Xenopus tropicalis: one gene and its partner. The protein of the gene in region 1 purifies or fractionates together with the protein of each later gene. This does not show direct contact. Links are inferred from orthologs where the notes say so. Each region holds a gene or a part of one and is shown on either strand. Other genes may lie near its edges. The genes, in order: lgals1.1 and fn1.

Region 1 (4,575 bases):
GCAACTTTTTTCCTCCATCAGCACAATCTGTGCCAGTGTCTGCATGTTTTCAGGCCCCATTCTATAGACAGTGACCATCTCCATTTTGAAGCACAAAGTTTTCCTCTGTCCTTCCCTGACTTGCATGGGTGTGGCATATGTAAATGAAAGAAGGGGTAGGGAATGGAGGCCCAGGTGTCATCTGTAGTGGATGCCATTCACAGAGGTATTTGACAATGAGACAAGCAGAGAACCTTGCCACGAGCGGCACTTTGCAGCCACTGTAACAGACACGTTTCCCTGGCCCTGGGGCCCGCTCTGAGTGCAGGAATGGGAAGTGCATGGGTGGCACTGGGTTTGTCCCCTCAGGCAGCAGAGAGGTCAGAAGCTCCCAAATCAATGCTTATCATTTTAAACTGGCATGATTTTAGTAGGGCTCTTATTTACTATTTAGGGTAAAGTACAAAATATATTTTCCCCCCAAATGCAGCATTTCCCCCCCTGAATTGCATGGTAGTTACACCAGCTGAAAATTATTAGGTACAGTTGGTTGCATAAACATCGGAGATTCCGCAAATAAATATAAATGTGTTTTTTAGACATAACTGATTAGTCTATACCGAACTTGTACAAAGCATTTTCCAACCCATTTTATTATACAGCCCATCCCGCACCTTGTTCCACTGGGAAGTGATGGATTTGGAGTCTTTATGCCCCTCTGTTTCCATAGTGTGTTGGACTCAAATTGCCTGTGTAGGGTTCCCCAAATTTTGGGTCCCCTAGGATGGTTGCCCCGGGATAGACCCCAAGGGAGGGTAGTACTTTAGTAGTGGGACACCTTGGGTGGTTGGCACTATAAGGGTTAACAGGGAGTTAGCTTCTCCTGCAGTTCAATACTTAGGCCACAGGGTGCACACAGTATATAAGGCTGTGCAGCCATGTGCCTGCAGGTCTTTCAGCCTGGGACCCCTCTTGGAGAAGAGTTTAACAACAGGTCAGAGTTAGACAGTTAGAGATTTGTTATAGACCACTCTAGGAGTGGGAGACAGGCAAGCTAGCTGGGCAGCGTGGCCCCGACAGGAGGATTTACTGGATTAAGATCCACCAGCACTCATAGCTGGAGTCAGGGTATAAAGTGCTAAGTGTAGGAGATTTGCCTAATCCCGGGGTATCTAAGTGGAAGTACCGGGGTGAGGTCTGCTGAGGGGGTGTCCGCTTGGCGAGAAGTACCGGGAAGTGCCCTAAAGAGGGGCTTCTGGCGAGAAGTACCGGAGGGAACCCCTAAAGGGAATCATCTGGCGTGTAGTACTGCTAATATCTCGTGGAGAGAGGGTCTCTTAAGGAAGAGGGATTGTACCCTGACTGTCTCATTGCTCCTGTATGCAACCTGCCTGTCTGATACATCTGTGACAATAAATAAGTTCCACTGGTTAAACATCAATCCAGTGTCCTGTCTCTGCATATCTGGAGGATCCACCTGCCTGGTAAGCAACTACCCCAGGGAGGGGGCAAGGTGCCAGGAGTGCTGGGAGTCCCCACACTGCAGTACAGTATCAAGTTCCCAGGAGGGGAGTTATAGTTCATTCTATCCCTATCCTGGGTGGAGGCACGCCAAAGTACAGAGTAATAGCTGTTCCCCAAAGTAAGCGGGGCTCAGGACTCCTGAAAGCGCCAAGTATAGTGATATATCAGCAGGTAGTGCCACATCTGTTTATAAAGTGGGCTACACCTGGAAAGCAGAGGGACTTTAAGTCCCAGAATGAATCAGTTCACAATAGAATAAGGTGAGGGAGGGGTCGCATGACAGTGTGAGCCTAAGGGAGGTTGGGAAATGATTTGTATGAGAAAGACGACAATGGTTTCCATTTAATCTGAGAAATCAGGTATATCTGTGTAAAAAAATACATTTATATCTGGAAGTTCAGATAGTATTTATGCACCTTTTCTACATAAACCTAAATGAATGAGCTTATGTCTAAACGGGGGTATATTTTCCCTTTAATGCATTATCAAAAGGGCACACTATAAAAAAAAACATGCAGCAAGAGCAGCTCTACTAATTGCATTTAACATATAATTATATCAGAGAATCTGTTTTGTATTTAGTTATTAGCACTAGAGGAAGTTGGAACAGACAGAACATTCAGGCTCAGGACCCCATCACCGCAAGGAATCTCTTCTAACCACTAAGCTGCCGTGTCTGCGTTTCCTCTGGGTACCCAAGCCCCTATAGGCTACAAATATTTCCAGTTCCAGATTATAGATACAGATGCTCTGGACTTTCTGGGTGGGCTGTTACGTGTCATTGCGCTACTCCTGGTGCACTGGGTGTGGCAGCTCCGCAGTTTGATTTCTCCAAATATGGTTTATTTTTATACAATAAATTAGCTGCACGGACTGCAGTTTCTCAGTCCCACGCCAAGGAATAATGTTCCGTTAGGGAAGCCAGAAAGAAGAGGGAGGGGTTGGAGGGGAAGAACAGAAAAAGAATTTAAACAAAAGAAAAGTAGAAAAGGGAACAAAGACAGACGCGAGATAAATGCAGAATGCAGAAGTGTGACATAGGGAAGTTGGGAAAATATGGAATTAAAGCACATATACAATTAGCCAATACAAATAAAAACTTTCCTACAAAAAGTGAAGAAAAGAACTTTATGACAAGGAATATAGTAAATGCAGTTATAATCAAAATTCCCCCAAGTGCTTGCTTGTTTAACCATAAATGCCCACACCCAGTGCCCACCCTACGTATTCACACACACAGCCATCATTGCAATACTTACAGCTGCCATTTTTCCACGTCCAATGCTTCTGGTTCAGTACCTCTAGCTTGGTTGGCTTTATATCTTTGGCATGGACCCCACCCTTACCCAATCATAAAAGCTAGCGATGAGGGGTGTTGCAACATTGGTCCAGCCCAAATGAAAGGAAGGAGGTAGAGAGGGAGAGAATCTGCATGACATACTTTCCATATGATGCGTTTAGACTTTAGAAAGTCTAACAAAACCGAGAAGAATAAAAAAAAAATAAAAGCTTGCAGAACCCAATTTTTCTACAACTGAGCTACACGGACTACTCAGAATAAAAGCACATGAACAACACACAAGTGAGAGAGAGACAGAGGAAATATTCATACAGTTGCAAATCCTAATTAGATTATTAGCCTGTTGTTGTTTAATAAAAGTAAGGATGTTATTATTAGGGAAGGAACCCATAAAGAGAAAGCTATTTGAAAGGAAATAGGTCGGTAAAGCCTTTGTATTTTTGTTGTATCCGCCTGAAGTAAGCTGCCCTTTCTTTTTAAACTGTTTTGCTGAATCAAAACTGCATTTATTTTTCGTATGTTGCTGCTGGCTGAATAAAAGCCATTTTTGTTTAAGAGACTTTTGACTGTCCTGGCATTTACATTGAGTGACCCTGCCATACTCTTAAAGAAAGAGATCTGATTGGATTGTTTGGTGGATGTCAGCCATACTGCTCAGTTGACTTGACATCTATGTTAGCTTAGGGCTTCACTTTGGCAGACCATCTTATGACCCATCATTTTCAGATAATCGGTCTGGCTTGGGGGCTACCCGGTACCTTAGCAGATAAGGAAGTGAAAATGGGTCACAGCTCCTCTTCCCTGTATGCAGACAGTTGTGCAATTTAGACTTGTCTGGCCTGTAGGTTAGATACCTTGAAGGCTCAGCCAGTGTATAGCTGCCTTTATCTGTGGTCCTACTATTATTTTTCAAGAAACAGGGGCTGGCTTAGAAGCTAACTGCAGTGACTGGATCCCTCAATCTTATGTTGTCAACACTGTGGAACAAGTCAGTTCATCTTCTCAAGCCTATATGTAAATAATATACCCTCGAATGGCTGCTACAAATGCTCTGTCCTACCCTCTTTTCCATTATCATGTGCCTATTTTCAATACTTACAACTGTTATATATGACTTACAATTAAGACACAAAGTACCCTGTACCTTATGTTTGCCATTGACCAGGCACTTTGCTACCTTATAAATGAGGCGATTAAGGGCCAAAAGACAGAAATGAGAATGGGCTTGTTTTAGTCAAGTAATTCCCAATAAGGGTCACCCTAATAAGACAGATTTGTCCATGTAATTACAGATAATGAAGTAAAACAACTATTTGTTATCTACCACCCACCATTGACTGTGTGCTGGCTCCTGGGTTATTAGCTTGCTCAGTCCTTCAACTCAGTAAGGTTGGTTTACCTACTGTATGGGATAACTTAACCAGGTACAGGTTCAGCCCCCCACTTTATTAAATAGATTAAACTCTATTACACATCTCAAACTGCAAGAATCAAAAATGGTAATTCTCTGCCCATAAATCTATGCACATTTGTCATCTTTCAGAGCAAATCTGACACAAAACACATTTTGCAGGGGCCAATAATTTATATGAAGTAGGTCTGCATGAACTACGACCCCTCAGCTTTCTACAGCTCCCAGCATCAAGAACAACCAAGGGACCATATGCTGGGCAACACTGTATCCATCCTACCCTACTATACTTGCCATACCTCACTCCTCCTGCATACAACTAGTGCTCTGTAGTTCCCTACTATGTGCTGGGCCTTGACTT
Region 2 (3,819 bases), on another chromosome or scaffold:
TTGTATAAACAGTTCATAAAATAAACGAGGTCTGTGCTTTTGCACTGGAGGTTTTGATCATATAGATGAAGCTAAATACGGCACAAACTACACCATCATTTTACCCTATCTGACCAAAGGAGTCCGATTTCAGCCAGGACACCATACAAGCTCAGCAGTGCTCCTCTTTTCTAAAAATGCACCTTCCCAGGGTTCTAAAACTACTGCTGCACTGCCATCTTGTCTCAAGGATCGCCTGTGATACAATGGGCAGTAGAGTAAATTCATAACTTTGACAGAAAAATGTATCACCTACCTTAAACCCGATTCTGGGCACAGGGGTCCAAGTTACCACTATGGTAGTCTCTGTGACTTCAGTGTTGTAAGGTGGAATTGATCCCACAGGTTCCACTAGACAAAAAACAGACATAAAAGCAAAATAATGAGCCACTATATAGTGCAAGGAATTTTTATTGGCATGTGGTAGAAAAAGTTAAATAAGATTATATGGTGGAGAGGCGATTTTATATTAACTCCATTTTCAGTCAAGGGAATTCTTCGGCTTATTTATGTCTGTACTGAAAAAAATTATCCCTGGAAGTTGCCTGAGCCTACATCCAGAAAATCGCTTGAAGTGGTTAGGCACCCGCAGCTAACAATATTCCTCCAGGCTTTTCATGTCCAACAGAGCTTGCAGAATTTAAACCCACTGTGCCATTTAAAATATATTGAAGTATGGATGAAAACATACACTCCACATCTTGAAGAGTACAAATTATCAAATATAATTTTGAAAAAGGCCATATGTGCCTGCTTATGCCACAGAAGGACACACTTCAAAGCTAAAGGGAGGCTGTGAAACATTCCTGGAATACTGTTATATTTAACCCATTCACTGACAGGAAGAGCTAAATCTATTCGGACTGCTAACCAATTCACTGTTAAATTCTACAAGACCAATTTGTTTCATTGCCACTGTAGTAAAATTTCTACTATAAACTTATGAGTTATATTCCATACTCTTCAGGAAAATGTTTTCTTGACATGAAAGGGATGCATTGAATCCAGGATTTGGTTTGGGATCCCTGCAAATTTATACTGCTCAGCAAAACAAACCCAAACCCTTAGTCACATGACTTTTACCACTGAATAAATGAGGGCAACAATTTATACAGATCCAGTTATCCAATTGAGAATGAAATTCAGTTAAAAACAAAAATTACACATTTAGTAAATTCCTTAAAAACAATACCTTTTTCACAACTTACATGTTGAAAAGACACCAGTAGTGCTAGCACTTTGCTGATTGCCTTTGAGGGCAACAAGTGAAATGGTGTACTCTGTGCCTGGGGAGAGACTCTCCAGCTTGTGGTTTGTGGCAGAGGGGTTAATGTGAAATTGGCTCGGCTGGCCTCCCCGGGTTTGACCTACAGACAGCAGGTAACGACCAATTTTGGCTTGGGGTGGTCTCCAGATAATAACAACTGTAGAGTCAGTTACATCTGTAAACTGCAAGTCTGATGGAGCATCGAGTTCTGGATGCAAAAACAAAGATTTTAGTCAACACCATTGGACAGGGCTGTGGACACGTGCACGGCATAAACGATTGGGCACAGCCAGCTACTTTCTGGAAAATATTTGACACAAAAAATTAAAGACACAATGGGCACTTGGATCATCTCTGCAGGCAGCTGAGACTGAAGATGACTTACTGGTAGTGAAGTCTCCAGCCAGGGGTTCACTCTCTTGTCCACGATTAACTGCATACACCTCAAAGGTATAGGTCCTGCCAGGGTGCAAGTTAACCACCTCGGCAAAAGTGTTCCTGCTCACGGGGAGATTCTGCACATCACGGTCAGAGGGACTTACAGGTTTCACAACAACTCGGTATCCAGAAACCTCACTTTGTGGGGGGTTCCACATGATGGTAATTTTTATATCGGTAACTTCCACTAATTGTAAGTCAGTGGGAGATGGTACTATAACTGAAAAAAATAGAAAAAAAAACCCCAACACAATTAGTATGTACTTAGTCTTCTGTGCTTATATTTACTAACTTATAGTAGACTGCTCAAATCTAAATTCAGACTGGTGCAAGAGTACACTTCAGCAATTATGTTGTTAGATCTGCCCATGTACGCAGTTTAATATTGGCCAAGGACCGCACACCCTTCCTGACAGGGGTCAAACCTGGTCCTAAAAGAAACTTGTTCCCTTTTAATTTGTAAAACTGGCCCATGGTTGCAACAAACCCTCCTTCTCTTCTGCTTCTCCACTGGCTAATAAAAGCATACCTTAGATTACTCCCAGAACTTTAAAATTAGGCCACAGAATTACAAATATAGGTCTGGGATTTTTACACCACCACAAACACCTACAGGGATGCAAGACTTGTTGGAGGAAAGGACAGGCAGCCAAGCGCAACAAGCCTTTATTTAAGGGTACCAAGATTCCAAAAAAGCAAATACAGCCTTTTTGAAGCACACTTATTTCCAGGAATTAAAAGCACAAGATTTAAACAAATCCACTCAAGTCTCATTATTTCTAGATTCAGTGGAACAGTAAATCCTTAAGAAAATGTATTCAGATTTTATAAAAAAAAAAAGTTAGATATATTAAATGTTTGAGCTTTATCAAAGTTACAAAACATCCAATGTCTTCAGCAATTTTCTTGCAGATTAAGCTTTACTTTTTTTTTATTCCCAAGTAACACCTTTACCCCTCATATATAATAGGAATCCCCAAAACCAAGTGAGCAGTAAACTAGCACATAAATCAACTATACCCCCCATATCAACTTTTTCCCCTTATCTTTGCTCTGCACATCACACTGAACTCTTGATACAATTGCATGCAGTGATTGCCCACTGCACGTTTTAATAGCCAAACTTTGGTGTAAGCCCTTGCCACCCATGGGAATGTTGGCAATTTATTTTAGTAGTAGGATCTGAAATCAGACCACATGAATTTTATCACACTCAGTCTACACCGAGTATCACTTTAATGCATTCCCTACATACTACTCTTTCTCAGCATTTCATGGGTATTTCAGGTACATTTTTATCCCCTTTGGTACCGTCACTTGACTAAGCAAGAAAGAAAAAAAATGGTTTATACTTAATCAAGGCAGTGCTATTTGGCATTCAAACATGTCAGGCATTACCTGTCTGTGGAGTTCCAGTTGTCCCTTGCTGAATAAAGATGGGAACACTTTCTAAACTGTCTTCCACTGCATAGATTGTAATATTGTATTCAATTCCTGGGAGCAGCTCAGTCAGGCTCACTGAAGTTGCAGTACTTGGGAGGTTTAACTCTGTGCTGCTGCCTTCTACAGATGGACTGTATACAACCCTGTATCCTGAAAACAGCATATGAAGGATATTTTAGTGATTAATAGGTGAATATGACACTTTAAAAATGAATCACTAATCAATGCAAACCATTTATTGTTTTGAACCAATGAAAAAATGTGCAGATTGGTAGAGCTTATTTTTTTAATATTCTTTATGCTTAGGTTGCAAAGCAGCCTGGAGTGTCCAGCGCCCAATAAAAATAGGAGACCATAGTGGTAGCACTGCATGGAGTCAGAGGACCTAAAGTCTTGGTACCTTGGCAAATTACATCCTTTGGTCTCAGGAAAGGAGTTTGTACCTGTGACGGGAGCTTGAGGTTTGGTCCATTTGATCAGGATGGAGGTGTCATCAACATTTTCCACATTATGGTCGGGGGGTGCATCAGGTGCTACATACAAAAACAAACGAAAAGTTTAAATAATAACTGTTCAGGACATTTTATCCCCTTATGCATAGACTATATACAGTATGCAGTACTTTATACAAA

What was found.
Region 2: the proteins of lgals1.1 (region 1) and fn1 purify together in Homo sapiens (affinity purification with mass spectrometry; 3 studies listed by BioGRID and IntAct, with this or other methods). This does not show direct contact. The link is inferred for Xenopus tropicalis from reciprocal best matches to the Homo sapiens genes LGALS1 and FN1.

What each region holds. Positions count from the first base shown.
Region 1 is NC_030680.2:122,672,833-122,677,407, forward strand, and holds the start of lgals1.1 (galectin-1), read right to left. Parts: upstream 2,868-4,575; 5' UTR 2,772-2,867; coding exon 2,763-2,771; intron 1-2,762. UniProt on the Homo sapiens protein: Lectin that binds beta-galactoside and a wide array of complex carbohydrates. Plays a role in regulating apoptosis, cell proliferation and cell differentiation. Inhibits CD45 protein phosphatase activity and therefore the dephosphorylation of Lyn kinase.
Region 2 is NC_030685.2:58,721,919-58,725,737, forward strand, and holds part of fn1 (fibronectin precursor), read right to left. Parts: intron 3,721-3,819; coding exon 3,631-3,720; intron 3,338-3,630; coding exon 3,143-3,337; intron 1,965-3,142; coding exon 1,692-1,964; intron 1,515-1,691; coding exon 1,248-1,514; intron 391-1,247; coding exon 296-390; intron 1-295. UniProt on the Homo sapiens protein: Fibronectins bind cell surfaces and various compounds including collagen, fibrin, heparin, DNA, and actin. Fibronectins are involved in cell adhesion, cell motility, opsonization, wound healing, and maintenance of cell shape.